Linked DNA regions of Diceros bicornis minor. The protein of the gene in region 4 purifies or fractionates together with the protein of the main gene of each other region. This does not show direct contact. Links are inferred from orthologs where the notes say so. Each region holds a gene or a part of one and is shown on either strand. Other genes may lie near its edges.

Region 1 (7,901 bases), on a different chromosome or scaffold from region 4:
TCACTCCTCAAACATTTGAGGAGCTTTGTAAGTGTTGCTTCATTCAACATACGCTTATTGCATGCTGTGCCAGGCACTATGCTAGGAAGTAGGGGGCCCTGTCCTCATTGAGATTATAGTTTAGTGGAGGAAACAACAATAAATAAGTAAACAGAATATAAGAAAATAAAAGGGAGACTGATTAGAGAGCAATTGGTGGGGGGTGGAGAAGAGGAGACCTCTTTGAGGGGTTGGAGTAGTCAGAGAAGGTCTCTTGAAGGGAATGACAACTAAGCTGAGACCTGAAGGATGAAAATGAGATAGTTATTTGAAGGGCTGGAAAAAAGTATTGAGGGAGACAGATCATCAAGTGCAAAGGCACGGAGGCAGGAAAAGGCTTAAGGAACTCAAGGAAATGAAAGGATATCAATGTCGCTGAAAGGTAGTGAGCAAGATAGAAGATGGTAATGAAATGAGGATTTGGCATGGGCCAAAGCATGCAGGCCTTATATAGTCTATGGTAAAGGTTATATTTTATTCTAAGGTCATTGGGCAGCTACTAGCTCCACACTTCATTCTCCACACAACAGGGAAAGACATGACTGCATTTACATTTTAAAAAGATCATTCCAGGAAAATTGGTAGGGACTCTTCAACAAGATACGGTTATGGGGGAGGAAAAAAAGAGGCGAGGGGAGACTGGTCCAATTTAAAAGAGACTTCAGGAAAAGAAAAAAAAAGAGAGACAACTAACAAATGTAATGTATGAAACTTGATTGGATCCTGGTTACAAAACATATTTTTGGGACAATTGGGAAGAAACTTCTGAATATGGACTAGATAGTAAAAATATATTATTAATTTTTTTTAGATAATAATGACAGTATTGGGGTTATGAAGGAAAATATCCTTGTTTTTTTTTTTTTTCTGTGAGGAAGATCAGCCCTGAGCTAACATCCGATGCCAATCCTCCCCTTTTTCTTTTGCTGAGGAAGATTGGCCCTGGGCTAACATCCGTGCCCATCTTCCTCTACTTTATATGGGACACCGCCACAGCACAGCTTGACGAGCGGTGCGTCGGTGCATGCGTGGGACCGAACCTGCGAACCCCAGGCTGCTGAAGTGAAGTGCGCACACTTAACAGCTGCGCCACCAGGCCGGCCCCAAAATATCCTTCTTTTTAGAGATGTATACTGAAGTGTTTAGGGATAAAATGTTAATGAGGTCTAAAATTTTCTTTAAAAACAGCATAAGAAAAAAGATGAAGCAAATATGGCAAAATGATAGAAACTGGTAAATCCAGATGATGGATATGGAGTGTTCAGTATACTAGTCTTGATTTTATGTTTAAATTTTTTAGTAATAAAACAATTTTTAAAAAAGATGACTAGGGGCCAGCCTGTGGTACAACAGGTGGAGAAAAGATATTTAAAATATATTTTGGAAGTAAAATGAATGGTACTTAGAGATGGACTGGATGAGGGAGTAAAGTAAAAAATGGAGATTGACTCCTGAATGCTCGGCTCAAGCGACTGGTGAATGACAGAGGCACTTTCATTTCATTTCATTTCATAGTGAGATGGCAAAGATGAGGAGGGGCAGCTTGAGGGGTGGAAATTAATAACCTTATTTTGTTCGTATTAAGTTACTGAATGAATAATGTGAATTAAAGTCTAAACTCTTCCACTAAACATTATATAACCTTTTGAAAATCATTACCCTCTCTGGGTTTTGCGTTTCCTCAATGGGGCAAGTTACTTTACCTCTGTTTCCTGATCTATAACTTGGAGCTAATAATAGTATCATAGAATTACCATATAATCCAGGAAACTCACTTCTGGGTATACATCCAAAAGAATTCAAAGCAGGATCTTGAAGAGATATTTGCACACCATGTTCACTGTAGCACTATTCCCAATAACCAAGAGATGGAAACCACCCTGATGTCCACTGACAGAGGAATGGATAAAGAAAATGTGCTATATACATACAACAGAATATTATTCAGCCTTTAAAAAGAGGATCCTGTTACATGCTACAATATGGATGAACCTCAAGGACATTAAGCTAAGTGATATAAGCCAGTCATAAAAAGATAAATACTGCATGATTCCACTCATATGAAGTATCTAAAATATTGAAAATCAGAAACAGAAAGTAGAAAGGTGGTTGCCCAAGGGCTGGGGGAAGGGGTTGGGAGAATTAGTGTTTAATGGGTAATTTGTTGTCTAATGGGTGCCAGAAACCACGCAGGCTGCCTTTGTATAGCAGCCTCTCAGCTCCACGGAAGCTGAATAGAAAAGAGGAAAACAGGTAATCCAAGCCCCCTGATTCACTTACCCTGCAACAGGTACTCCATCATGTTAATGGTGCCCCCAGTGACAGGCATCATAGTGACTGGAGGTGCCTCCATGGTGTCTGATTAAGTTGAAGACGACAAAAATGAATTCAGAGTCCCAAGTCAAATAAAGCACAGGATACACCTGAAGAAGAGTTACACTTGTTAATATATCACAGTGGAGAGACATCAGATCTGCTCATGTCATTAGCCCCGACATCAAAAGACTTATTTGTCCATTCAAAACTTTCTATGTAACTGCTATATGGCCAGTTTCGGGAACTGATGATACAGAAATATACAAAGGAGAACTGGTCATGGAGTTACAGCATAACCTTCTAGTCTCAAAGTGTGAAACTTCTAGGTTTTTTTGAAAAAAGTGCAATCTTGAGGAAGTCATCAAATCTCTCACTCAATGTCTTCCCGATAAGATGGGGTCAAGGATATTTAACCCCCAAGGCTTTGTGCCTCAGATGACATAATGGACATACAATTACATTCAGAAGAACTGAAAGGTGACTTAAGGGACCTTGTCTACCCTTCAATTTATAGATGAGGATATTGAGACTCGGAGAGGGGCCCAAGGACACATAGCAAGTCGGTGGCAGAGCTTGGACCACACTAAAATCTAGGCGTTCCGCCTTTCTGAAAACGCCTTTTAAAGCGAGCGAGGCGGAAGCGAGTTGTTCTTTTAAGATGATGTTTTAAGTCTTCCTAAGCCAGGATTGAGGACACGTGCCCACTTACATCAGAAACACACCTACGCGCGCGCTCTAGTCTCTTCTCGCAAAGCGGAGAATTATATCCACCCGAGCACCTCGGAGCTATTCAGCGACAATTAGCACCCAGTCCTAAGGCTCAAGACCCTTGGATAATAAAACCACTCGGCTTTCTCCTCTTCCCACTTCCGCCAAGAACCAGACGTGGCGCAAACGTCTACACACCCGCCCCGCAACGTAAGGGTGCCGAGAGGGCATAAAATCGCCCTCTTTGGTACCTGGCAAGCAGAAGCGCATGCGCAAGAAGCGACGCAGCTGTGTGGAAGATGGCGGCTTACTTTGGAGCGTTCCTCTGGGAGTTACTGGGCTGGGGCTTGACGTCATAGGCCGTACTCCAGGAAAACATTTTATTTTTTTCAAGCTCGACGACCTGGAGATGGTTTTGCCTAGGAAAAGTCTTGGAACTGACCAGGGGAAAAGAGAGCCTGGGGAAGGGAGCTGCAGGAAAAAGAGAAGGCGAGACTGTTATAAAAGACTTCTTTTTGTTGGGTCCCTGAAGTTGAAAAGGAAAGACCCTTGACTGCCTAGCATAATGTTCTGAACATCTAGGGAGCTCGGTAATACACTTAATATTTGTTCACTTTACTGTGTATATTTTACTTCAATTAAAAAATGTAGGAAGAGAAGTAAATTCAACAAATATTTGTAAAATTCTGTTTATGTGTCAAGCATATAAGGTGCTAAATGGGGACTGGAGTAAGGTGAATGAGGCACTCTGCTGAAGCGAAAAATTTATGGCGACACGAAAAAACTCAGTAACCAAGATAATATTTTAATGCAATATTTTACAAATTTAGTGCAAAAAATCCTTAATGAACAAAATATTAACTTTTTAAATTTGATTCCCACAGCAGGCCTATGAGCCAAATACAATTATTACTGTAATTTTACAGACAGGGAAATTGAGGAAATGGGCTGTTAAATAACATGCGAGTGGAGAGGCTGGCAATCTAAGCTGCTGACTTCAGAGCCCACCCTCAGTTACTATACTGCCTCTTGTACCTCTAGTTCCCCTGCTGTAACCTACACTACCTCCCAATCATTCTTTTTTTTTTTTTTTTTGATGAGGCAGATCAGCCCTGAGCTAACATCTGATGCCAGTCCTCCTCTTGTTGCAGAGGAAGATTGGCCCTGGGCTAACATCTGTGCCCATCTTCCTGTACTTTATATGGGACACTGCCACAGCATGGCTTGACAAGTGGTGCATATGTGTGTGCGGGGGATCTGAACTTGTGAACCCTTGGACCGCCCAAGTGGAGCGTGTGCACGTAGCCGCTATGCCAATGGCCAGCCCCCCCAGTCATTCTTTTTTTTTTTAATCGAACATTTCTTGAAAGTGTTTGTGCTGTAGACATTCTGTTAGCTGTTGACTTGATTCAATTTCTGCCCTCAGAAGAGTTTATAGGCAAGTTGTAGGAATCAGTAAACTAAGGAGATGGCACCATGTGATTTGATTCAATAGGATAATGAGATATAAACAGCTCAACTGCTCTGGAAGCAAACAGGACACTTGATCCATCCTGAGGGCGACAGAGAAGGAATCCTGGAAAAAGTAATTAATGCCCAAAGTAACTTGAAGGATCAGTAGGTGTTAGCCAGATAAAGAAGGGAGGAAAGGAAATTCCAGGTAACGGAAACAACATGTACAAAAGGACATTGAGTTTAGTAGAATTAGGATATAGAATCTGAGGTTAGGAGGGGTAAGAAATGAGTCTGGAGAAAGGATAAGACCCAGATCCTGGAGAACTTTGCATGCCAGACTAAAGAACAGATGTGTGCTTTAAAAAAAGCTCTGGCTACAATGTGGAGAAAAGCTTGGAGAAGGAGGTCCTGGAGAAAGAAGACCAGTTAGGAGCTTTGGCATAACTCCAGCTGGGAGATCATTTCGGGAGAAAAGACAGATTTGAAAAATATAAAAGAGAATGATTTGATGACTAACCAGAGGTAAAGACAGAGAGAGGGAATCACAAATGTCTAGATTTTTACCTTAGGTGGACATGGTACTGTGTTTTTCTGAGCTAGGAAATATAAAGCAGTGTGGGTGAGGCAGGAAAGATGAGTTCATGTGTACTAGATATATTGAGCATTAGGTGTTTATGAAACACGAAAGTGGCAGTGCCCCGCCAGAGTTCAGGGGAGGGAGAGCTAGGCTGGGGGGAGAGATTTCAGAATCAGAGCCTCATAGATGGTGGCTGAAGGCATGAGAATAAATAAGATCACCCTGAAAGAGCGTGTAGAATAGGAAGAGAAGACGGCCAAGAATTGGGCTTTGCACAGGACTCCAACAGTTATTAGAGCTGCATATACCCCAGGGCTTGGGATGTGCCTCCTGATCAACCTGATGATTCACAGTTTTGAGCAGAGTGACAAGCTCTCGGTGCTGTAATGATTGGAGGAGGTTGGCAAATTGCTGGGCTTCTCTTTTCCTGTACAGACACTAACTTCAGCATGGTAAGTCCAGTGAATTATGGGTCCTTTGAGGCACCATAGTATTTACCCAAATTTTAGCTGGCATTTTGAAGTAGGGTTAAATTAAAAAAAGAAAAAAAAGATGGACAGGAAACGAATGAACAATATGGTAAAACTTGGACAAGGCCTAGGAGTTATATGGATGGGTTTCTCTGATAAGAATGTGAGGCCTAGAGCTTAGAATGGGGTCACTTTTGTCCTCTGCGCTACCCAGCTGTGCAACCTTGGGCAATTCACTTCCCCTCTCTGAGCCTCAGCTTCCTTTTTTGTAAAATAGAGGTAAAAATAGTACTTTCTAAAACAGAGATTGCAAAAATAAAATGAGATGCTTATGAAACACTTAGCATAGTCCCTTGCTTATTGTAAGCAATCAATAAATGGTAGCTATTATTATATTTTAAATCACTCATTTGAGCAAGCACATTCTGTCTTATTGAATATATTTTGTGCATGTTTCATCTCCTTGGATAGATTGTAAACATCTTGTAGGGAGGAATCATGTATTTTCTTTGTATATATGTGTCTTTTTTCTATTTTTTTTTTTTTTATTGTATGTGTGTGTGAGGAAGATTAGCCCTGAGCTAACATCCAGTGCCAATCCTCCTCTTTTTTGGGTGAGGAAGATGGGCCCTGGGCTAACATCTGTGTCCCTCTTCCTCTACTTTATATGGGATGCCACCACAGCATGGCTTGACAAGCAGTGCATCGGTGCATGCCCAGGATCTGAACCTGCTAACCCTGGGCTGCTGAAGTGAAGTGTGTGAGCTTAACCACTATGCCACCAGGCCAGCCCTTATATATATGTGTCTTAGTCAGCTCGAGCTGCTATAACAAAATGCATAAACTGGGTGGCTTATAAACAACAGAAATTTATTTTTCACAGTTGTGGAGGGTAGAAGTCTGCAATTAGGGTGCTGGTATGGTCGGGTTCTGGTGAGATCCCTCTTCTAAGTTGCAGATTGCCAACTTCTTGTATCCTCACGTGGTGAAGAACAGAGCAAAGCAAACTCTCTCAGAACTCTTATAAGAGCACTAATCTGGGGCCAGCCCCGTGGCATAGTGGTTAAGTTTGCATGCTCTGCTTCAGTGGCCTAGGGTTTGACCTAGGGTTTGGATCCCGGGCGTGGACCTATGCACTGCTGTAGCACTACCAAGCCATGCTGTGGCAGGCCTCCCACATATAAAATGGAGGAAAATGGGCACAGGTGTTAGCTCTGGGCCAACCTTTCTCAGCAAAAAGAGGAGGATGGGCAACAGAGGTTAGCTCAGGGCTAATCTTCCTCACCAAAAAGAAAAAAAAAGCGCTAATCCATTCATGAGGGCACTTCCCTCAGGACCTCATCTAATTCTAATCACCTCCCAAAGGCCGCACCTCCTAATATTATCACATTGGGGAGTAGGGTTTCAACATATGAATTTTGGGGGGGTACACCGACATTTGGTCCGTAACAATGTGCTTTACATGTAGTAGGTGTTCAGAAATTTTGTTGAACACATCACAATAGCTACCAATTATTGAACAGTTGCTACACACCAACAACTTTAACTACCTGTGTGTAAATATGCCAAATACTGCTAAAAGGTAGCTGTTACCAGCTCCACTTTACAGAGGAGGAAAAAGAGGTTCAGAGAGGTAAAGTGACTTGCCCAAAGCCAAGCGCCCAGCAAATGGCAGAACTCAGATTCAAATTCAGTGCCTTCTGACACCACGCCTGTCTCTTCACCGTGCTTCCTTCTGAATTCGTGGACTCTTTCTCCATGGTGAGTTTCGCCAGTTATTACAATTAATAGTAGCAAAGGAGGAGAAAATTTCACACGTTAATGCTTCCCAGCCAATCACTAGACTAGGCTCAAAGGAGTAAGACCAGTTCTTGGCCCGTTTTCATCAGGACAGCAGACCATAGACATGGATAGCGAAGCACACATACTCATACACAGTTCCTTCCTCAGCTTTCTAGAATGACCTGATGGGAATTAAGATAGATCTTCCCCCCTGTTATATGCAATGCTAGGCTCTCAACCTTAGTGTTACAAACTACTATTTCCCCAGGAATGAGCTGACATATATTGGCTGCTTCCTATGTGCATAGCACTATGGAAAAGGTATAACCATGGCTTTTCAACCTAGTTATCTCCAGCATCCTCATCAGTTCATGACATTCCTCCACTCAAGAGTAAAAGCCAAAGTTCTCTTTATGCCTACATGATCTGCCCTCATCACCTGTTACTTCTCTGACCATATCCCAGTGATCCCCATCTGTGCCTGTCCCCATCCCATCTACTCAGCTCCAGCCACGCTGTTCTCATTGCTCTTGAACATGTCAAGGATGCTCCTA
Region 2 (7,728 bases), on a different chromosome or scaffold from region 4:
AGTCATGTGAAGGAAAATGAATCTATAAAGGAGACTCATTTATTTATTCACCAAATATTTACTGAATGTGAGTATTTACTACGCTGCAGGTATTGGAGACACCACCTTCAACAAGATAAAAGATGGCTGCATCCTCATGGAGATTATCACCTACCAGGGAAATACAGACAAGATGAAGTCAATTATGAGCAAGAACCAAGTGATGACAATCCTAACCAGGACCTGAGGAGGTTAGGAAAGACTTTCCAAAAGCTGAGCTGAGCAGAGACCTCATGTATGAATAAATCCAAATAAACGAGGCAAAGGAGGGGGTGAGGGTGGAGGGGTAGAAAAGGAGCATCTTCAACAGAAAAAACAACTTGTGCGAAAGACTCCACCATGAAAGATATTCAGGGAACGAAAGAAGGCCAATGTAGCTGAGACAAGGAGTGTAAAGTTAGAGTGGTAAAAGAGTTTGGTCTTTACCAACAGAGCTTTGAGTAACCATTCTAAGATTTTCGCAAGGGTGTGGCTAGATCAGATTTTCATTTCCGAAAGATCACTATGGCCAGTGTGGAGAGTGGACTGGAGAGGCAAGAAAAGTGGAAGTACACAAACCAGTTACAAGTCTGAGGAAGTAATCTAGGCAAGAGATGGTGGTGGCCTGAACTAGAATTGTGGCAGAGAAGTGACCAGATTTGACATATTTAGGAGACAGAAGCCTCAGGGCTTGGTGACTCATTAGACGTAGGGGCGAAAGAGAGGATTCAAGAATGATGCCCAGGCTTCTGGCTTCAACAATGGAAGAGGGTGATACCATTCACTGAGAGGGAGAACACAGGAGGAAGCAGCTTTGGAAGGGTGATGGGTAAAGGAAAATAGTGAGCTCAGTTTGGGCAGCGACAAGTTTGAGAGGCCTAGGAGAGATTCAAGCGAAGTTATCTAGTGGCAGTTAGATACGCAAGACATCTGAACTGGCAATATATATTCAGAAGTCATCCACATACAGATGGTAACTGAAGCCATGAAGAATGGATGAAATTATCCCAGGGATAACATGAACAGTAGAAGAGAATGAGAAGGAAAGTCAGACAGGTAAAAAGAATTAAGTGAGAGTGACGTGGCAGAAGGAAGGAGAGTTTCCAGGAGGAAGTCATCAACAATGTTGAATACCACAGGGTTTGTATAAGGTTTAAAAAATGTCCATGTGATTTATCAATTGAGAAATCACTAATATTCTTAAGAGCTGTTTTATATCACATGAGCAGAATCAGATTGTAATAGGTTGAGAACCTGAAAGATAGGAATTGGAAACAACGAAGACAGCCTATTCTTTTTTAAAAGCTTGGTTGTGAATGAAAGGAGAAAGGCAAAACAATGGAAGAAAAAGGAAACAATAGAGAGTTTAACCTGTTTTCTTGAGGACAAGAGAGATCTAACATTTTGCATAGAAAGAAGTCAGGTGAAAAGGAACGTCTGAAAACTGATGAGGACATATTTAATAAAGATATCAAAGGATACAGGCAGGAACGGAATGTACTCAATGCTGGAGCAGACTTGACAAATGGGATAACTTTAACTCTTTTTCCACAAGACTATTATATTGCTAAGGAAAATATAAATTAGTACAATCACTATGGTGGTCACTTGGCACCATCCAGCAAAATGTTAAACATGTATATCATGTGACCTGACAATTCTACAGCTACATGTAGAATTCTACATATTTATCCTAAAGACATACTTGTACTGGACAAAATGACATGCACAAGGTTATTCATTACAGCACTGTTTGAACCAGAAAAAGACTAGAAATAACCCAAATATCCATCAGTAAGACATTACTACGTCATAGTACATCCATACAAACTAGGCAGGCTGTGAAGAAAAAAAACTAGGATGTGCTCTATGAACTGATATTAAAATCTCCTAGATACATATATTAAAAAAGCAAAAAGTAAAAGTGCAGAAAAGTGTGAATGTTACTTTTTGTCTGTAAAAAGGGGGAAAATAGAATTCCATTTATATTTCTTTGAATATACATAAAGCACTCTGGAGAGATAAGAATCTAAGAACAGTGGTTACCTACAGTGAAGGGGGCTCACACTAGACAGACAGTGGACAAGAATGAAACCTTACACTTTAACATTTTTATACTTTCCAGCTTGTGAGCCATGAGAATATATACTATCTACACAAAAAACTCTGCTAAAAAAATTTTGAATTTTTTTCTGAGATAGAAGTTAAGAAAAGGGAATGTAATGATGCTAATAAATTTCTAGACTCAAGATATAAATGAAAAAGAGAAGTTTAAACTGTAGATCTTAAGCTTTTGCTTCTGTATTCTCCATGAAGAAGCTAAGGGAATAAGCAGCAATGTGAGGGGTGGCCACAGGATTGGGAACTAGAAGAAAATGAGGTTTGATACAGTAGCTGTAGAGAATGGAAGAGGGAGGTTTAAAAATACCTAACGAAAATACACTAGACATGACTAAGACTTCTATACCTGAAAGGAAAAACAGATATATTGGTCCTCTTCAGTTGAATACATACCATCTGAGAAAATCTAAAGGTCATCTTCTAAGACAATTCACTTAGACATACGACGGCATGAAGGAATGCCAAACTAGACCAACACTCTCTCGACACACACGATATTCTTTGTCCCCGGTATATTTCCAGAGCCCAGCACAATGCCTGGCACAAACTGACGCTCAAAAATTCAAATATTCAATAAATCCACTAACCCTAGCCTCATAAGAAATCAAGAAGGGAGCCCTTTGCTTCAGACAAAGCCAAAACAATGGTACTGTTTTATGGTTCTGCACGTTATCTCAATACGTGAAGGCGGTATCAGATCTATCCAGCTGACAGTGCAGAGAGCAAGCGTCACCCTGACCGGGAACAGTAATGCTACATTCCCTGCACCCTCCACCTCTCCCCATCGCGGCTTCACTCCCGGCCTGGGGGATGTGGGGAACACGACTTGGGGTCACTCGTGCGGCGGGCTGGGGGGGGAGGCCGCAAATCCTCAATTCGTCCAGCTCCCCACATTTCCCTCCACAGAAGGGTCGCCGCGGAGCGTTCTGAGTGGTCACCTACCCTCGTCCGCGTCATACATGTTGGCAAACGGTTCCCGAGCTGCTAACTCTTAAAAATCACAGAGAGAAAAGCACGTAGCTACCACTCCGTCTCGGAGCCCTAAACGAAGTGACTTCCGTCTCCGGCGTTCCCAGAATACTCCGCGTCCGAGGCCAAAGACCGCCCACAGAGAAGCTAGGTAACATCTGCGCCTGCGCAAATGGTAGGCTAAGGGCCGCTAAGGGTTACAATTGCGCACGCGCAAATTGTGGGCGGCGCCTCTTGCGGCTGATTGCGACGATGACTCCTACAGAGTGAGGGTGCGATCCAGCCAATGAAAGTTTTTTTTAATGTTGTTGCACAAATGACACCTAAAAAAAAGGCCAAGAAGATTTATTAATTTTAATTGTAGCCTTGAGTTTGCGGCATTCGATGCTCTATTTTTTGCATTTCTAAAGGCTTCAAAAACCACGAAGCCTTTAAAAATGCGATTTATTAAGGGCAGGTTGCGCCAGCGGCGGCGCGTTGAAGAAGCCTAAAAGGGAACAAACCCTCACTCACTAGCCTTTTTTGCCCCCTCAGCTAAGTCTAGGCCGTCGGTACCTTTGCCGCAGCTTTAAGTGGGTTCTGAAGCCTCAGAGCCTTCATCGCGATAACTCACGGGATTAGGCGCTGGAGGAGGAGACGAAGTGCGGCGGCTGACAAATGACAGCTCTCCGGTAGCCGCGGCCTTGCCTGTAGGTCTTAACGCGCGCCTCTGGCCCCAGTGCGCGTGCGCGCACGTGGCTCCGCCCCTTTGCTCTGGGCCGTGTTCCCCATGCTGCCCGCACGCCTCACTGGTAGGCTTCTGTGCGGCTTCCTGCGGGGATCCGCACCGAAGGTAGCGCGCCATGGCCTCCCGGAGCCGCTCCTCGAGAGGAGATGCGCGGCTCCCTTCTCCTGCCGGCACCCATCGGGCCTGGGACGTGGGCTTCCTCGTGACCCGACAGGGACTGGGGGTTACGAAGGAAGGGCTGACATGGAGGAGCGTTTTCTGTTCCCCGAGTACGTCCCGGAGCCGGAGCCCGCACCGACCCCCGAAAAGCAGCTGCAGGAGCTGCAGGAGCGGCAGGAGGAGGAAGAGCGACAGAAGCAGCAGCGGCGGGAGGAGCGGCGGCAGCAGAAACTACGGGCCAGCCGCCGGGGGCACCCGGTCGTGGGGCACCCGGACCCGACGGTGCCGCCCAGCGGCCTGAACTGCTCGGGCTGCGGGGCGGAGCTGCACTGCCAGGACCCCGGCGTGCCCGGCTACCTGCCCAGCGAGAAGTTCCTGAGCGCGGCGGCGCAGGCCGACGGCGGGCTGGCGCGGACCGTGTGCCAGCGCTGCTGGCTGCTGGTGCACCACCGGCGCGCCCTGCGCCTGCAGGTGAGCTGCGAGCAGTACCTGGCGCTGGTGAGCGCCGCGCTGCGGCGGCCCGGGCCCGCGCTGGTGCTCTACATGGTGGACGTGCTCGATCTGCCCGACGCCCTGCTGCCCGACCTGCCTGCGCTGGTGGGCCCCAAGCAGCTGATCGTTCTGGGGAACAAGGTAGACCTGCTGCCCCAGGACGCTCCCGGCTACCGGCAGCGGCTCCGGCAGCGGCTGTGGGACGACTGTGCCCGCGCAGGGCTCCTGCCGCTCCCTGGCCACCGAGGGCCACAAGACGAGGAGAATTCGAACCCTTCGGCCAGGTGCCGCACGGTGCTCAGGGATGTGCGGCTCATCAGCGCCAAGACTGGCTATGGAATTGAAGAGTTGATCTCCGCGCTTCAGCGCTCCTGGCGCTACCGTGGTGACGTCTACCTGGTTGGCGCCACCAACGCTGGCAAGTCTACTCTCTTCAACACGCTCCTGGAGTCCGATTACTGCATCGCCAAGGGCGCTGAGGCTATCGACAGAGCCACCATCTCCCCTTGGCCTGGTGAGCCTTAGGAGACCCACCCCCTTCGTTGTCTGAGAAGCTAGAAGTCTGGTCGTGGCCCAGGCACCTAGTATAGCCTTCCTTATTGTCCACCAGAGGCTGTCTGGAGCCTTCCCTTTAAAAACTGTCTTCCTACTTTGGTCACACCTCTCTTCTGTGTCAGCTTAGTGCTTGGAAATTCAGTAATTTTCTAAAAGAAGTATTTATGGAGCACTTGTATGTTCCAGTCACTGTTCTAGGCACTGTAGATGAACAGAGGAACAAAGTTCCTGCTCTCTTGGAGGTTTCTCTTGTAGCTTTACTTCTTTGTATGTTTCTCTGGAAAGTCCTTTTACTTTCTAAACCTCCCTCACCCCTCAATCTTACTCTTCATGTCTTGAGTTGATTCATGAGATCAGTATACTATGCACGTTTAACATTTGAATAATTCACTAATGCAATGTGATGTGTAGCTTTGTTGGAAAGAAATGTCAACTTTGTGGCTTTATGAAACTTCTGTGATTGCAAAATGGGTTCTTCTGTGACCCTCTTTGTATTTAACAGTTGGCAAAACTGCCTCATTAGTTCTTTTGAAACCAGGGTTTAACTTTGATAAGCTGTTCTTCTCTGTCCTGGACTTTGGTTGAATTATACACAGAAGTGCTTTTATACTGGATGGTAGGATGTGAAAATGGAAAGAAATCAGGCCTGCAGATTTAAATCCTGGGATTTAATCTAAGGATTCAAATCCTGGTTGAGACTTTGAGCCAATCTCTGAGCCAATTTTCTCATCTGTAAATAAGAATAATTTTGTAGAGTGTTATGAAGGTTAAGTGAAATAAATCACAGTCCCCAAGACATTGTAGCTCCTCAAAGATGTTAGTTTTCCTCCTCTTATTCCTTTTTCTTGTACAGTGTTTAGAAAACATATTTATTCTTTGGTATTTCAGGTACTACATTAAACCTTCTGAAGTTTCCTATTTGCAATCCAACTCCTTACAGAATGTTTAAAAGGCAAAAAAGGCTTAAAAAAGATGCAGCTGAAGCTGAAGAAGATCTTAGTCAGCAAGAACAAAATCAACTTAATCTCTTGAAAAAGCATGGCTATGTAGTAGGTAAGCATGTTCTATAGGAAAACTCTTGTTGAGTTGTTGCTAAAATTCTTTGTTGAGCAACCTGAAATATAGCTGTCTGGGGCTAGCCAGTTTTTGTGGGGAGTGACTGCTTTCCTCATTCTGGAACATAGAGGCCCTTTAGAGGCAAGACTACTGTTTGGGAATCCAGAGTTCATTGTGCTGAGAAAATTGAGACAGTAGATCTTGAAGAAATCCAGGAAAGGAAACATGCAATAACCACCCACCCAGCCATTGTCAGCAGTAGAAGAAAAAAGATACAGCCCCCCTCTCTGCAGACCAGTGCAGGTCGTTGACTCCGTGCAGCAGCTTTAAATTACAGTCATGCGTCACTTAACCACAGAGAGATGTTCTGGGAAATGTGTCATCAGGCCATTTTGTCATTGTCCGAACATCACAGAGTGTACTTACACAAACCTAGATGATATAGTCTACTACACACCTACACTATATAGTGCTAATCTTGTGAGACCACCGTCATGTATGTGGTGCATCGTTGAGCAAGAAGACATTATGCCGACGTTATGCAGCACATGACTGTAGATTGTCACCCATTCCAGGAGCAGGTAAAGAGCTGGAAGAACCCCTTTCTAAATTCTGGTCTTCAGTTTCGTTATTTCCCCCAAATACTCAGCAAAAAATGAGAAAAAGTTATGAGTCCTCTGGCTTCTAGAGATGAAGAGTTCCTAAATAGACTAGAGAAGATAGAAAAGGAAGCCAAGAAGTACAAAATTCTAGTAAGATTTAAGGATTTGAAATCTGATTAAAAAAGATAAAGACTAGAGAAGTTAAAAAAATGGATAAAAAACGTTTGTGAACTTGCTTAAGAAAAATGAAAAGGAAATGATAAATATGTGATACTTAGGCTCACAAGAAAATACAAAAAAAGGGGGCATCGTTGAGCAAGATGACATTATGCAGCACATGACTGTAGATTGTCACCCATTCCTTGGTATCTCTTTTCAACCTTCCTTTACTGAAAACAGTTTGATTTCCAACACCCTCTCCCCCCACCCAGTGTACACAACCAGCCACTCACTTGATCATTGCAAGATTCTGGCCCCCTGCCTTTGGGGAAAAAAGCAAAGGTATCATTGTAGTCTCACTTCCATACACTACAGTTAGTCTTAGTAATTTGTTTGAGGCAAACATAAGAATTACCTGTCTGGAATCAAAAGCTTTAAAAGAATGACTAATAACTTCAATCTAACTTGTTCTAGGAAGAGTTGGAAGAACATTCTTGTATTCAGAAGAACGGAAGGATGAAGCTCCCTTTGAGTTTGATGCTGATTCACTTGCCTTTGACATGGGAAATGAACCTGTTGTGGCAGATAAATCCACCAAACGAGTACAGTTGACCCCAGAAGATGTGAAAGATGCCCACTGGTTTCATGACACCCCTGGAATTACAAAAGAAAATTGTGTATGTATTTGATATCTTAAGAAACACTTACTTTCAACTGCACAAGTACTGTCTTAATTGGCAGAACACAGGAAAGGAACACATTTTAGACTCAGTTCTCATTCATTCATAGAAGCAGTTCAGGGATGAATCTATATGGCATCAAGTTCTGTGTTCCATTTGGTAGGCTTCACTGCTAACAACCCATTTATAT
Region 3 (8,012 bases), on a different chromosome or scaffold from region 4:
CCTCCACCAGGCTGCCCACGTGGCTCTCCCAGCTGTTGGCGAGGTGGTCCGCCATGCTCCAGCACTTGATCTGCCCATCGGCATCAGCGGACAGGAGCCGGGAGCCTGTGGGGGCAAAGCTGAGTCACGAACCCCCAGCAGAGAAGCCAGCCTGGTGGACACAGAGCAGGGGAGTGGCACAAGGCATGTTCCGGAAATGATTCTGGACACGGGGAATGGGAGGAGCAGTGGCTTTGCCACAGGTCGAGGGTTCGAGTCCCAGCTCTGGGCACTGGGGACATGCCTGGGGAAAGACAGAGCATGCTGCTCCGGGAGCCGGGGTCGAGGGGCACACGGGCGTCTCCCCGGGCCGCGCAGACCCCAGGCCCACCCTCACCTGACTGGTCCCACTCGAGGCAGGTGATGGCCTCACTGTGCTCCGAGCTGACGGAGTGCACGTCCCAGGGGTGCTCCGTGTCCAGGATGTGGATCATGCGGGTCAGGTCTGTGGGGGAACAGGGCACCATCAGCACAGCAGCAACGACACAGCCCCCAAGCGCCCGACCACCAGGCGGCTCAAGGAGGAAGCCAGTGGACGGCCCACCCGCAAGGAAGTCACAGAGCCGCCGCCAACCATGCCAATGCCCCGGGGCAATGGAGGACCAGGCTCATGTCCCACCTGGAGACCGGAGCGGGCCTGTGACCATGCCACCAGTGCGGCTATGACCACGTTTTTAAGAGAGACACAGAAAAGAGAATTGCAAGAAAATGACCCCAAAATGTTAACAGTGAGCGTCTCTCCGTGGAAGGTAACGGCTGGTTGTTTCTCTTTATCCTGAATTTCTGTGCTTTTCTGGTTTTCTCTGACGACGGAGAGAAGACAGCAACTGCCATGCACGTTAGACGCTACATTAAAGACGAACGATGACATGTTTGGTCCAGAAGACTGGGGATCCCGCCCCTCACCCCACTCCATCCCGAAGGGTGATCCCAGCATCCCCGGGCACCGGGCGTGGGAGCGCACCACAGCTGCCCTGTGCACCCTGCGGGGCTGGGGCCGTCACATCCCCAGGAGCGGAGGGCCTGGACGGTGAGGGTGCTCCCTGGCAGGCCTGGGGACCCTGAGGACCCCACAGCAGCACTGTGGGGGCCAGGCTACGACACTGTGTCGGGGGGCCGGGGGCGTACCCTGGTCGTCATTCCGGAGATCCGTGGTGAAGGCGATGAGGTTTCGGCAGGACCAGGCACAGGCCAGGGGCACCGACGGGCAGTGGGTGCTCTTGGGCCATTTTTCCCACTCGCAGACGTAAGCCAGATCCATGGTGCCCGCCTGCCACGGCTCCCACGGCGAGAACAGTCACCAGCTCCTGGGGGAAGGAGGAGGGCTGGCTCGTCATCCACGTTCACGGAGAACCTGCAGGGCACCGAGTGTGGGACAGGACGCCAGGTGACCACAGGGAGTGTGTCTAGTGAGTGTCTGTGTGTGTGTATGTATGGGGGCCGTGACAGGGAGGCCTCACCAGGGAGAGTATACTGAGCGTGGGTATGAGGGAGCGAGGCAGGCAGATGTCTGAGGAAAGAGCATTCCAGGTGGTGGGAACAGCCAGTGCAAAGGCCCAGAGGCTGGATGGAGCCCTGTGTGTTCAGAGAGTGGCTGGCTGGCCGGAGTGGCTGGAGCAGAGTGAGTGAGGGGATGGGGCAGGCCGTGCAGTGCCCCGAGTGAGGTGGGAGCCTTGGGAAGGCCGTGACCCATCTATGTTGCAACAGACCCTTCTGGCTGTCTGGAGTGCGCAGCTAGGGGATGCAGTGGGGACTGCACTAGTCCAGGCGGGCAACGACGGGGCCAGTGGATACTGCAGGGAGAGGTGGGACCCCCCGTCTCTACCAGAAACATGCAAGAGCACGGTGGTGCTGTCTCTGGCTGAGATGGAGAGACAGGTGGGGAGTGGGCAGCTTACTGGGGGTGGCCGGGTGGCTCTCCACATGCCCAGCCCAATTATAGGTTGTTTCCTTTCACCACAACAGAAACCCAATGAGATGGAACAACCACCTACCCCATTTCTTTCAACCACCACCCCTAGGGCACCCTATTCTTCCAGCCTCGCCCCAGAACACCAATGTCCTGCCCACAAGCCCTCAATCCCCATCCCCTACATTCTTTGCTTTCCCAATTTGCCCCCCGGAGCCCCCAAGCCCGGCCTAAACTCTCGGGCTCCAACCCAGGGACCCCAAACAACCCCCAGGTCCCACCCCCAAGCCCTCCAGCCCCGCCCAACACTTTTTGCTTTCCAGACTGCCCCACCAAGTTCTCCAGGTCCTGACTCTACTTGCCCCCTGGAGACCTCAGATCCCACCCCAGGAACCCTACATGATCCCCAAGCCCCGCCCCCAAACGCCCATGCCCACCCCCAACGCGACCCAGGCACCGCCCCTCAGGAGATACACTCTCCAGGCCCCACTCCCAAGAGACACAATCTCTCGGGAGCTACAACCTCCAGGTTCTGCCCCCAGGAGTTACAACCTCTAGGCTCCGGCCCCAGGGAGCTACAACCTCCAGGCCCCGCCCCCCGGAGTTACAACCTATAGGCTCCGCCCTCGGGAGCTACAACCTCCAGGCCCCGCCCCTGGGGAGTTACAACCTATAGACTCCGCCCCTCAGGAGCTACAACCTCCAGGCCCCGCCCCCAGGAGTTATAACCTCTAGGCTCCGCCCCCAGGAGTTACAACCGCTAGGCCCCGCCCCCCGGGGGTTACACCCGCTAGGCCCCGCCCCCAAATAGCCCAGACCCCGCCCCCGGGAGTTAGAGCCTCTAGCTTCCGCCCCTCAGGAGCTACACCCTCTAGTCCCCGCCCCAAGTCGCCCAGGCCCCGCCCCCAGGAGTTACAACCGCTAGGCCCCGCCCCCAGGAGTTACAACTGCTAGGCCCCGCCCCCCGGAGTTACAACCTCTAGGCCCCGCCCCCAAATAGCCTAGGCCCCCCCTTCATAACCCCAGCTCCCCGAACTCACCGCGACCCCCACTTGGACTCATGCTTCCCCTCAAGTCTCGGCCACAACCCCCGAGCCCGCCCAGCGCGCGCCAGCCCGCGTACCCAGCACCCTTTGCTCTCCAGACCCGCCCTCTGACCCCACAGGCCCCGCCCCGGACCCGCGAAGCCCCGCCTTCTCCGGGCCGTGCTCTCCGGGGCCGCGGGCGCCGTCCGGAAGCCGTCTGACCCCCGGGCTCCGCAGCCCCGCGCTCACCGGGCCAGCCGAGCGCCCAGCCGAGCAGACGGCCCGCACTCGCCCTAACGCGCCGGCTCCGGCGCCGCCATCCTCCCCGCGACCAACAAGACGTCCGCGCAGCGCGGCCGCTTCCCGGAGGCTTCTGGGACGGCGGCGGCTCCTGCTCTGCCGGCTTCCGGGTTATTTGCATATGCTTATTAATAATTCCCAGCAGCCACCTGAATTGTATTTGGTAGAACAAAGAACACTTTCTCAACTCCGGTGCGTGACCCCATTTGGCTACGCTATGTGTTGCGCTGATACCTAAAAAATAAGTGAGTTACTGAACTTGCTCAATGAAATTCACCCTTAGTGTAAAGTTATTGATAGTTTGCACTATAAATATCTCTCTGGGTAAACTGAGGTTCGTGCTCGCTTCGGCAGCACATATACTAAAATTGGAACGATACAGAGAAGATTAGCATGGCCCCTGCGCAAGGATGACACGCAAATTCGTGAAGCGTTCCATATTTTGCGCCTTGTTTTTCTGGTATCCGCAGGTAGAGAAACTTTTTCTGATATCTACGGGTGGGGAAACTGAGGCTTGATAAGCCAAGTGACTTACCCAATCGAGGGCCCTTCTGGCTGCAAACCCCATCCCGGACTCCTCCAAAAGCTGGTCCCATTCGCATTTGCTTTACATTTCTTTTTTTTTTTTCCTTCTATTGAGGTCACATTGGTTTACAACATTGTATAAATTTCAGGTATACATCGTTATATTTCGATTTCTGTGTAGAAGACACAGTGTTCACCACCCAAAGACTAGTTATCATCCGTCACTGTGCACCTGTGCCCCTTTACCCGTGTTACCCTCCTCCCACACCCTGCCTCTCTGGTAACCACCAATCTCCTCCAAATTTATGTGTTTGTTTATCTTCCACATATGAGTGAAACCAGGCGGTGTTTGTCTTTCTCTGTCTGGCTTATTTCGCTTAACATAATACCCTCAAGGTCCATCCACGTTGTTGCAAATGGCATGACTTCATCTTTTTTATCACTGAGTGATATTCCATGGTGTGTATATACCACATCTTCTTTATCTATTCTTCCCTTGATGGGCACTTAGGTTGCTTCCAAGTCTTGTCTATTGTGAATAACGCTGTGATGAACATAGGGGTGCATGTATCTTTATGTATTTGTTTTTTCATGTTCTTTGGATAAATACCCAGCAGTGGAATAGCTGGATCGTATGGTATCTCTATTCTTAACTTTTTGAGGCATCTCCATACTGTTTTCCATAGTGGCTGCACCAGTTTGCACTCTCACCAGCAGTTCGTGAGGGTTCCCTTCTCTCCACATCCTCTCCAACACTTGTTGTTTCCTGTCTTGTTAATTATAGCCATTCTGACAGGCGTGAGGTGGTATCTCAGTGTAGTTTTTATTTGCATTTCCCTGATAGTTAATGATGTTGAACATCTTTTCATGTGTCTGTTAGTCATCTCTATGAAAAATGTCTGTTCATATCCTCTGCCCATTTTTAAATTGGGTTGTTTGTGTTTTTGTTGTTGAGTTGTGTGAGTTCTTTATATATTACAGAGATTAACCCCTTGTGGGATATATGGTTTGCAAATATCTTTTCCCAATTGTTAGATCATCTTTTCGTTTTGTTCATTGTTTCCTTTGCTTTGCAGGAGCTCTTTGGTCAGATGAAGTCCCATTTGTTTATTTTTTCTTTTGTTTCCCTTGCCTGAGGAGACATGGAATTCGAAATGATGCTGCTAAGACCAATGTCAGAGAGTGTACTGCCTATATTTTCTTCTAGGAGTTTTGTTTTCATGTCTTACATTCAACTCTTTAATCTATATTGAGTTAATTTGTGTATGGTGTAAGATGATGATCTATTTTCATTCTTTTGCATGTGGCTGTCCAGTTTTCCCAACACCATTTGTTGAAGAGACTTTCCTTTCTCCATCGTATGTTCTTGGCTCCTTTGTCAAAGATTAACATGTGCACATAAGTTCTTTTTTCTCAGGATTCCTTTGGCTCTTCGGGGTCTCTTGTCCCATGCTTTACATTTCTGTTTTTCATAGCTGGGGAAACTGAGGCTCTGATAAACATGGTGACTTGCCCAGTCGAGGGCCCTTCTGGATTCAAACCCCATCCCCAGTTCCTCCTCCAAAAGCTGCTTCTATTCCTGCCCGACTCTCCCCAATTGGAAGGTCTTCTCCAGGAAGCCCTCCTGGGATTGCAGGGAAGGGCACACTGGGCAGAAGGCACTGCCTGGGCAAAGGCCTGGTTCTTGGGAACGGAGCTGGGGAAAATGGGTGGAAGGAAGCCCACCGCCCCACAGTGGCAACCGCGAGACTGGAAGGGCAGCCAGTGGGCGCCCCCAGAGGCCCCGCATGCCCGCCCTGCGGCCCAGCCCTGTCCCCTGGGAACTGGGAATTCGTGCCCTTCACAGACGGGGCCTCCCAGCTGGTGACCCAGTATCTCCTTTTGTCCTCCTCCCAGCCATTTGGGTTTCCCTCCTCCAGCATCTATCTTTAAAACTTTGTAAATGTCCGTTCACACGGAAGACAGCGCCCCCAGCGCCCCACGCTGGCTTCGAATCCGGGCCCGGGTGGGAGGAGCCGCGCACCCTGAAGCCCAGAAAGTCAGGCCGGACTCACAAACTAAAAACCCCACCGGGATGGGGGCCTCCGAGAGACAAGGAGCTGCTGAAGGAGCTCTCGGCCGCCAAACCCGCAACAGTCTGAGCAACGAAATAAAGTGATGTTGGATTATAACCCAGACCAGAAAGTAAATACCCCCTCGAGCCTCGTCGTGTATGTGGTTGAATAAACACACGTGGAGAAGAGACAGTCCTCCCCTGTGGAATTCCCAGTAAATCAGGCAGAGGCTCTGCCCTCATGAAGACCGCTTCCCGAGGACAGTGTGGAGGGGCAGGGACCCCCCAGTGCAGGGCCCGAGTAGCGCCCCTCCACCAGGAGGTCAGGGTCCCCGTCAGCAGGGAGAAGCCGCGAGGACAGCAGGGACCCCGATGTGGCGCGATGACAGGGCACGTCCCTTTGTCCGATCATGAGAAAACCCAGGCTGGGGACGTCCTGCAGGACACCGGCCAGTCCCAGACACACGCAGGGAGAGTCCACGTGACGACGGAGGCAGAGATGGAGGGACGCGGCCACAAGCCCAGGACGCCTGAGCCTCAGAGGCTGGGAGAGGCGGGAGGGAGCCTCCGGAGGGAGCACGGCCCTGCGACACCGTGACCTCAGATGTCTGGGCTCCAGAACTGGAGACAGTGTATTCCTGTGGTTTTAAGCCTCAGTGTGGGGTACTCTGTCCCCAGGAAGCTCACACGAGTGACTTTTTGGAGGTCACACAGCCGGGAAGTGGCGGAGCTGGGTCTGAACCTGGGCTCCCGGGAGGGGGACGAGCCAGCGGGGCAGAGCGAGCCCCCGATGCTCCCGGCAGTCTCCCCGGACACCCGCCTCACCCCTGGGGCGTCACTCAGTGCCAAGCCCCATCCCCGAGCCTACAGCCTCAATGACCAGGACCCCAGCGATCCCGAGCCTCCTGCGCCCCCAGCCCCGCACCAAAGGGAACCCCACAGCTGAGACAAGAGCACCAGAAATTTATTGACTCTCCACTCTTCCCAAAGCACAGCTAGCCACACACCGGGGGCGGGGGGGGGGCAGCCCTGCTCTCGGGGGCCGGGCCAGGCCAGGTGGCCCGCCGGAGGACACCCCAAAGCAACAGGCTGGGGAACATGGAAAGGGAACCGGGTAGTCCAAGGGCGGAGGCTTCTGGCTGGAAGTCCCGGACTCCCAGTAGGAAAAGACGGGAGAAAAATGGGGAAGGGCAGGGTATACAGCAGACAGGGCCCCAAGAGCCACCAAAAGACACCAGCGGGGGACAACACACATTCCAAAAAGAGAGTAAAACCAGCCTTTAAAACGCAGCTTCCGTCCTGGGTCGTGGGGCACGCGCACGCACACACAAGACGTAACACTCCCAGGGCGGGGGACGAGGCCCCAGAGACCCCCCCCATCCAAGCCAAAAACTGGGAGGGGGGTGTCAAGCAGGGACTGGAACAAAGCCCCCCGATTTATCAGTTGGGGCGAGTTTGGTTTTTCTTCCCAAAAGGGAAATTTAAAAATCTACAACAAATCACACCAAATTCATTAAAAGTGATAAAAAGCCAGCCTCTCCCTCCTCGCTTAAGCCTCAGACTGGACGGAGAAAGCTGAACGAAGAAGGAACATGGAAGTGACCAGGCCCGGTCTCCCCGCCCAAATACAAGTCCCAGAGCGAGGAGCTATGGGGCCTGGAAAGGCCAGAGCAGCCCCAGCCACCAGAATTTATCTGGAAGGGCTGGGCAGGGAGGGGGCTGGGGTGAGAGAGAGCCACCCCAAGGGGAAGATGACGTTTCCAAAGACGAATTCTAAAAATAATGAAGATATTCTGGCGGGTGGCACGGAAGGTCCGGTGCCGGGGAGGCGGTGGGCGGGGCCCGGCGGGCCGCCATCAGCTGCGCTGCTCCAGGTAGGCGGAGAGGAGCAGCCCGGGCGGCAGGAAGTCCAGGTGCCGATTGCTGACCTTCATCTGCCGCCTGCCCTCCAGGTCAGCACCTGCGCGAGGCGCCAGCGGGGCGAGTGAGTCCCCACCTTTGCAGAGAAGCACCCCCGGCCCGGCCCCTCCGCCCGAGTCTGTGGGAACAAAGGCGGGCGTGGGGGCCGCAGGAGGCATCCAGAGGTTGCCATGGAAACCGTCTCCTTAGCAACTCCGGGCAGGAGGCGGAGAGACAGGCGTGGGGAGCGAGGACCCGATGG
Region 4 (7,848 bases):
CGCTGAGATGCCACATCCATCTCGAGCACAAATCTGACCAAGGCTCCCCAGTTTGAAAGTTTCCCTAGCTCCCCATCCCTCAGAGGACAAAACCTCACTCCCTGAGAGGGATGTGCTGTCCTCCCTATGCTGGTTCTTCCCACCCTTCCAGTTCTCCCTTCCTTGGATTTATGCTCCAACCCCACCAAACTGAGAGTCGACCCCCATGAGTTGATGCTATTTCTTGGCTCCCCACCATCCCTCTCTCCTTTCATAATTTAAGACTCGTGGTTGGCATCACCCCTTAAGGAGTCTTCTGACTCCTCCAGGTTTCACGAGGTCTCCTCTCTCATCACTGCCCTCATCAGTCTGTCTCCTTCCCTCATTAGCCCATAAACTCAAACACATACCTAGACATGATATTTTAAAATCGGATCCTAGCCTTTTTTCATGGTGATAGCATCTCTCCTTCTCTCTATGCATACTGTTTCTTCCCAGTGGCTTTTTCTGCTCTTGTTTTGTCCTGTCTTTCTTACTAGGGGTTTTCTTCACATGCTTAGTGACCCTGGCTACCGGGTCATATGAACTGACTGTGGTCTTTCTTGGGGAGCCCCCAATGACTTTTCTCTTGGGCTGGTCAGACACCCCAGAGAAGGTACATCTATTCTCTTTGGCTGCCAGTCTAGAAGCCAGGTAGGGGAAGAAGGCTAGAGTGGGGTCTCAATATCCAGTGTGTGAACTTTCTCTTACTCCCTATTTCCAACATGGCTCCCTTGAACTCCTGCACTGTGCCTGGTGTCCCCCGAGTCCAGATAATCTTTGGCTTATTCTTTCCAAAGAATAAATCTCGGGAAAGAGCAACCCTTTAATTGCCTGCCAAGATGGAAGAAGAGCAGTCACCTGTCTGCTTCAAGTGAGGAGAGAGGACTGTGGGGATCTGCTGCTTAAGGAGACTTTTAAGTAATCCTCCTGTTCTTAGTCCCCCGTCACCCCTATTTCCAGAGGTCCCTGGCAACGCCAATTCCTGAGACGTGGGGGGAAGCCACGGTCAAAGGCAGGTGCTTCTGCCAACCAGGGGCTGATAGGTGGGTTAGCCCTTGGCCATCTGCTTTGTGGCAATTATCTCCTCTCCTGTTCTTTTTGGGTCTATGCTTTAAAAAAAAAACCTCTTCACTGTCCTTTTAGAGGAAACTGAGACAAACATGAAATCAACCCACCATCTCTCACAGGAGGATGCTCTTGAGTAGACCTCACAACAACCTTACCATTTAAGTATTATTAGTTCCATTTCACAAGAGAAAAAGAGGCTCAGAGAAGCTAAGTAGTTTGTCCAAGGTCACCCAGCCAGTACGTTATACGGCTCTAGTCTGAACCCATCGTTTTGAGGTCTGTTATTATTATTCACATATTAGAGATAAGAAAATAAGGCCTAGAAGGGTTACATGTTCTCCCAGACTACAAGGCAAGCAAGCGTCAGCATGAGCCTTGAATGCAAGACTGACTGCAAAGCCATGCTCTCTCAGGGGTACCTTGCTGCCCCTTCTTTAAGGCCAGCCCAGCTCAACTGCTCTACTGGGGCTCGAGAACATACTCTGCAGGCTCCAAGAACCGTCCTTGAGAATGTGTACATTTTGTGCTTTCATTCTTCCATATTTTTCTTAAAACCGGTGTAAGAGTATTTGCATTAATCTGGACAGCCCCTTTCCAGTCCAGTACTGCGCTGGGGCTGCAGGGTCGGCGTCCGCAACTGTGTCTGCAATCTCACTGCCGCTGCAAACTGCTGCCTGCTGAGCACAGGCTAATGAGAGCAGACCGGAGTCTGCCTGACCCTATAAACAGGATGCTCACCCCGAGTGAAGCCACATGAAGTCAGGGTCTAACGCCAGAACAAAGGCTTTGTGTTGTCTGAAAAGTGGGGGAAGAATCGGGTCAGCCCACATCAAGTGAAGTAGTCCGGCTACACTTAAAGGCTGGGCCATGAACGCCACTTCCCTGTCGTGAGCAGAAATTCCATCTTAGCAAAACACCCAAGAGCACAGTGACGTTCACCTGAATGTTGCCGTAACAGTAATCTTCGTTTTCATTTACTTTGTTTTGGTTTTTAACAGCTGAATAAGAGTTACGAGCCTAGGAGTTTACACCTCGTATCGTGCGGATATAAAAAACAGTAAAAACAATTCAGGCTAACATGGGGATCAGCAAGACTCTTCACTGTGTTCTTTTTTTTTTTTCTTTCACAGGGTCAGTTTGCAAACTGAGACTAACCTGAAGGCTGGTCAAAAGGATGACAATCCCCCCTTTGAGACTATGTGAGAACACAGTTAGTACTACAGGGGTCGATTTGGTGGAGCGACGTCTGTGTCTCGCTGTCTGCGACGTTTCCCACCCTCCCCCCTCCGGCGTTTCTGAACTACGGGTCATTCCCGCTCGCGTCTGCCTCTCCCTCCAGCCGAGGAGACGCGTGAGAAGGGCTGGTCAGCCGGCCCCTCCTCCTCCGCAGGCCCCCAGCACTCAGCAGTGCGTCGGGCGGGGCACACGAGGCACCGTCGGCTCTGCGAGAAGGGGAGCCAGCGGGCGCCCCCCCGTCACGGAGAAGCCGAGGCTCAGACGCCCGAGCCGCTCGTGACCAGCAGGACGCACACTCGGGCGGCACGGCAGCGCTGTGGCTCCGAGAACACCGCCAGGCCGTCCGTCGCGAGGTCCGGCAACGCCAGGGCTCAGAGCGTTTGCCGGACTCACGGGCCGAGCCGGTGCGGTCCTGGGAGAGGCCTCGCCCCCCGGCCTCAGTTTCCCCATCTATAAAACGGGGGCGCACCCGCGAGCGCCCGCACGAGAAGCGGGAGGGCGTGTGGAGCTGGTCCTCTCCAGCCCTTACCATTTGATGATGTTGTGAACCAACGGCAGAAAGGAGAAGTTCTCCTCCTCCTTCACGCCCGCCGGGGACTGAGGCCTCGGCGCCGGAGACCGCTGCGGCTGAGGCGCGGCGACCGGCGGCGGTGCCTGCGGAGGCAGCAGCGACTTCGTCTCGGGCAGCGGCGGCTCGGCCGACGGCGGTAACGCATCCTCAGCCTGTCGCCCGGCGGCCACCCCGGCGGAGGCCATGGCGCTCAGGACCGGTCACTCAGACAGCCAGCGAGACCCGAGCGGTGAGCCCGCCGAAAGCGTCGCGCTGCCCCTACGTCACTACCGCGCGCCCGCGGGGACGGGAACCGGAGAAAGGCTGTGAGCATGCGCACCAGGGCGTACGCGGGGCAAAGGCACGGGGCGGGGCGGCTGTTACTAGGTAACAGGAGGTCGGCGAGTCTGCGGTGTCCTGGGTTTGGTTGCGTCGAGAGAGCTAAATTATTAAATAGTCAGGAGATTTATTACAGAAATAACATCTTATTCCTTTTCACGTGACGACGAGGGTCCAAAAGCAACTAATACAGGAAGCGTGCGATGAATAAGGCCCAGCACGGCCCAGCCCTGGGAGAAGGCCGCCCGAAGAACCAACTTGAACCGCGCGCGGAGTGGACCGCCGTCACCGGGCGCCTGCTATGTGTAAGGCGCCGGCCCTGCGGGCGTCGAGAATGCGGAGAAGGACCTGCAGCGCCTGCACCACGCGGGAGCCTCCAGGGGGAGAGGCGGCAGACCCTGGCCGGGCGGTAGTGCCACAGCGCGTGCCAGCCCTGAGGACGCAGACACCAGAAACGGCGTCCCCCAAAGCTCCGCGGGGCTGGGTAGGGAGGAACTAGTAATTCAGTATTTAATATACATCTCCTGGAGCTGCTCTCCATACCTGTGGGCGACTTCCTTAAGCCCCTAGGTCCCAGCCGCCTCGCCTCTATAATCTTTAGTTCAGGGTCATGGCAGAGCCTAATCTGCTTTCTAACTTCAGATACATGGCTGACCTCCAAAGGTCTAGTTCACATGAGGACCCCCTAGGATCCTAGGCCAAAGCGGGTTACTTTTGGTAGATTTGTCGTTATGTTCCTCAAAACAAGTATGATATGGGGGCTGTATAATAAATTTCTGAGCAGTGGGGACACTGATCCTAAGCTTAGCTAATGAGTGGAAGAAGATGTGAGCTAGGAGAGCCCCATCCTTCCTTAGTCTACCATCCTGGGCCTTTAACAGAGGCGAGGAAGTACACATTCAGGTAGCAAGATGAGCAGTAGCACTTAAGAGCAACGTGGCCTATCCCAAGGAAAGCATCAATGCTAGTATTTTCGGATGCATCAGGAGGGGTTTATGGAGGCAGGTGCTAGGGGAGCAAGACCATAGAGGGAAGTAGATGTTGGAGAGTGTGCTGTAGACGCCCTTTAGTCATGGGCCTCAGTGCAGCGTTCTTCAGCAAGAGCTGCCCAGAGCACTCCAGAAGGAGAGCAAGGGGAGGGAGAAGGCTGCAGGGTTTTCTTCCTGCCCACCATGGACCTCTCCACCTAAGGGAAATGTTTAAGAGTCCTGCTAGATAATGGAGGAGAAAGGCCTGTTGGGATAGGACAGATGTGCTTGAAAAGAGTACACCCTTGGAGTCATCTGGGGAAAAAAATGATGGTATAATAGTAATAATAATAATAGTGATTACCACAACTACGGTGGAATAAAAATAGGGACAAGGAATAGAGTCACAGTCTTTATCTCATTTAATCTACAAAAGAGGGCTAAAAGTAGATGTTAGTATCTCTCTTTTATAGATGAGGAAACTGAAGCTTACAGCAGTTAAGATACTGGCTCTGGGTCACATGGCTTGCTTGACACCAAGCCTCTGGTCCTAACGAACACATAGGAGACCTCAGGTTCCAACCAGTTCTGTAACTTTATGATTCAAAATGGTAAAAGTTAGATTTTTATTCAGAATTCAAAAAGCAATCCGATATTCATCAATAATATCTCCATGGCAATGACACGTCCTCTTTTCCCTCCCAGTGTGTTTTGTAACTTAATTACAAACCCCAGCTTTATCATCAGCAGGATAATGAAGACGTCTCTTTTTAAAAAAAGAAAAAACACTCCAGGTATAAATAGATATGGCTAAAAAAAACAAATTGGAATCGTAGGAAGCATGAACAAGTAGAGTGCATTGACAATTTGCCATAAAAATAGTTAATCTAATTAGTGGCAAAGCGTAAAGCTGACTCTACAGCATTGCAAGCGGATGTCAGAAAAATAATATCTGGCCTGTGTTGGTTTCATTAAAGCTAAAATTGCCACAACAAATGTGTGTCTGTTCATAACCGCTTTGTTAAAAGTCAAAAAGGGTCCACTGATATGTAAGGACGGTATATTGTTAGAGATGCCACCAAGTTAAGCTATCTGGTTATTGCTTTCTTAGGCAGAGTTAGGCTGTTTCTCATAGAGCCTTTCCAGGCAAGTTGGTGGTTACAAGTTCTGGCCAAGGAGCCTGCCTGCCTGACTTGAGTCCCAGCTCAGTCTGTTTGAAGTTGTGTGACTTTGGACAACTGCACAACCCCACTTTGCATAGCCATGCAACCTCCCAGGAGGACCGAATGCATTATTGCATACAAATCATGGAGAAAAGTATCTGTGCACAGTAAATATTAGTTCTTGTTATTCAGATTTAGGGTTTGCTCCTTCACCAATTAATAAAACCCGGACTGATGGCAGTTAACAGGAATGATCTAGAATCAGAGCTCTCCAATAAAATATAATATGATCCATAAATGCAAGCCACATATGTCATTTTCAATTTTCTAGTAGCCACATTAAAAAAAACAAGTGAAATTAATTTTAGTATGTTTTACTTAACCCATTATATCCCAAAATTATTTCAACATGTAATCAATATTAAAAATTATTAGAGAGGTATTTTACTGTTTTTCATACTGTCTTTGAAATCTGGTATGTACTTTACATTTACAGCACATCTCAATTTGAATAGCCACGTTTCAAGTGCTCAGTCATCACATGTGGCTGGAGACTACAGAACTGGATGGTGCAGTTTGAGAGATGAATACATATCACTGTAGACAAAACTCACAATCAAAATGGTGAGAGGAAAAAAGCAAGTTGCACAAGAGAAATAGAGTATGTTACTACTTATGTAAATATTTGAAGCATGAAAAATAACACTATACCTCATCCATAGATATAAGACATATATAAAAAAAGTTTTTAAAAGGAACTGAAAGGTTTACTACACATTCCTGGGACAGGGGATGGGAATATAACCAGCACTGCAACTCTCTGTGTAATGTTATATTTCTTTTATATATTGTGAGAGGACTTAAAGCAAAAAGGAAAAATATGGACAATTGCCAAATATAGAAGTGGGTACGTGGGAGTTTGATACATTAGAATCCAGGTTCTGCTAGTTTCTGGCTGTGTGACCTTGGACAAGTCATTTAACCTTCCTGTGCCTCAGTTTCCTCATCTGCAAAATGGAATCATAACAGCCCTTTCCTGATAGGGCTGCTGTAAGGGTTCCAGGAATTCATGTCTGTAAAAAGCTTTGAGAGTAAGCACTATTTAAGCTTTAGCTTTAGGAGCTTAAATAGCTCCTATTTTGGAGATAGGTGCAAAAATAGCCATCTCTCTGTCAGACAAGTGTCACGGGGATTGTTAAACTGGTCATGTCATCGAACCATCGGGGGCTTTGTCAAAGCTATGTCCTTACACATGATTCATCCTTTTCTTTGATCATCTGGAGCCTCGGGCAGGGTGGAAAAGCTACATGATACTTTGATTTTTGTGAGTTAAAAAAAAATAGGGAGCAATCATTATTCAGGCCAAACGTAGCGCAGCACGTGCCAAGAGTCAGCTCCCTCCAGCGAGACGCATGCTTACGCCTCAGAACAAAGCCTTTGCTTCAGATCTGCCTTGAGATTGCTTTTCTTCTCTCTCTGAGCTCAACTAAATTTATTTCTTTTTGTTCCTTTCAACTGTTCTGTCGTTACTCCAAGATACTCCATTATGCCCATTTCTCAACCCGCTTGTTTCAGTGGTTTCATTTCCAGAAGCACTCTTGATGGGGTATTTCAGCACACAAATTCAACCACATTTCTTTCAGACTCAGAATTTTCTCCTTAAGTCCTCTCCTTTAGTCCTTATTCCTGCTTACTATGTTTCGCCAGACCTCCACCCGCTTTTGATATGATACAAATGAGAGGCAATCCATTCCAGGAACTAGTTTTTTACTAAAATGGTTCATTTTTGTTGTGATATCATATTTGTTCCAATCTCTTTACTCAGTCATTTTCACTCAAATTATTTGTTAGCCAAGTTTTTTTTTCCTTTCTACCAGCTGTTCCCCCAAAGCCTCATCCTTATCTCCTTCTGTTAATCCTTTTTAAAAAAATAACCTCTTTCTCATGATGGCCTTTTGGCTTTTTCTCACTCTTCAGTCCTCCCTTTCTCTAGAAGTTGCCTTGTTTTCTTTATTGGATTTATTGAAAGTCTTTCGACTCTTGACTACTAACTCCAGTTGCAAAATTGCAGTTAAAAATTATTGGGCCGGCCCCGTGGCTTAGTGGTTAAGTGTGTGTGCTCCGCTACTGGCAGCCTGGGTTGGGATCCCGGGCGCGCACCGACACACCGCTTCTCCGGCCATGCTGAGGCCACGTCCCACATACAGCAACTAGAAGGATGTACAACTATGGCATACAGCTATCTACTGGGGCTTTGGGGGAAAAAAGGAGGAGGCTTGGCAGTAGATGTTAGCTCAGAGCCGGTCTTCCTCAGCAAAAAGAGGAGGATTAGCATGGATGTTAGCTCAGAGCTGATCTTCCTCACACACAAAAAAAATTATTATGCAACTGGCATGCTGAAGAGGATAGGACCTTCGCTGCCCATGAGTGCTGTGTGGCTGGTCTTCGTGGTTCAGGCCCGTGGCTGGGTTTCCAGACCTTTTGGGACAGGAGGAGATAGCCC

Evidence for each region.
Region 1: the proteins of MED9 (region 4) and MED18 purify together in Homo sapiens (affinity purification with mass spectrometry; 6 studies listed by BioGRID and IntAct, counting the BioPlex papers as one, with this or other methods). This does not show direct contact. The link is inferred for Diceros bicornis minor from reciprocal best matches to the Homo sapiens genes MED9 and MED18.
Region 2: the proteins of MED9 (region 4) and POLR2B purify together in Homo sapiens (affinity purification with mass spectrometry; 4 studies listed by BioGRID and IntAct, with this or other methods). This does not show direct contact. The link is inferred for Diceros bicornis minor from reciprocal best matches to the Homo sapiens genes MED9 and POLR2B.
Region 3: the proteins of MED9 (region 4) and MED16 purify together in Homo sapiens (affinity purification with mass spectrometry; 5 studies listed by BioGRID and IntAct, with this or other methods). This does not show direct contact. The link is inferred for Diceros bicornis minor from reciprocal best matches to the Homo sapiens genes MED9 and MED16.

Annotation. Positions count from the first base shown.
Region 1 is NC_080752.1:43,723,086-43,730,986, reverse strand, and holds the start of MED18 (mediator of RNA polymerase II transcription subunit 18), read right to left. Parts: upstream 3,231-7,901; 5' UTR 3,078-3,230; exon of another isoform or gene 3,065-3,077; intron 2,463-3,064; 5' UTR 2,393-2,462; coding exon 2,320-2,392; intron 1-2,319. UniProt on the Homo sapiens protein: Component of the Mediator complex, a coactivator involved in the regulated transcription of nearly all RNA polymerase II-dependent genes.
Region 2 is NC_080747.1:44,467,005-44,474,732, reverse strand, and holds the start of POLR2B (DNA-directed RNA polymerase II subunit RPB2), read right to left. Parts: upstream 3,349-7,728; 5' UTR 3,101-3,348; coding exon 3,082-3,100; intron 1-3,081. Other genes in the region: NOA1 (nitric oxide-associated protein 1), read left to right, coding at 3,878-5,000, 5,930-6,094, 7,333-7,535. UniProt on the Homo sapiens protein: Catalytic core component of RNA polymerase II (Pol II), a DNA-dependent RNA polymerase which synthesizes mRNA precursors and many functional non-coding RNAs using the four ribonucleoside triphosphates as substrates.
Region 3 is NW_026691553.1:469,636-477,647, forward strand, and holds the start of MED16 (mediator of RNA polymerase II transcription subunit 16), read right to left. Parts: upstream 3,321-8,012; 5' UTR 3,223-3,320; intron 3,008-3,222; exon of another isoform or gene 2,989-3,007; intron 1,394-2,988; exon of another isoform or gene 1,347-1,393; 5' UTR 1,301-1,346; coding exon 1,168-1,300; intron 485-1,167; coding exon 377-484; intron 106-376; coding exon 1-105. Other genes in the region: R3HDM4 (R3H domain-containing protein 4), read right to left, coding at 7,708-7,811. UniProt on the Homo sapiens protein: Component of the Mediator complex, a coactivator involved in the regulated transcription of nearly all RNA polymerase II-dependent genes.
Region 4 is NC_080757.1:945,596-953,443, reverse strand, and holds the start of MED9 (mediator of RNA polymerase II transcription subunit 9), read right to left. Parts: upstream 3,136-7,848; 5' UTR 3,082-3,135; coding exon 2,855-3,081; intron 1-2,854.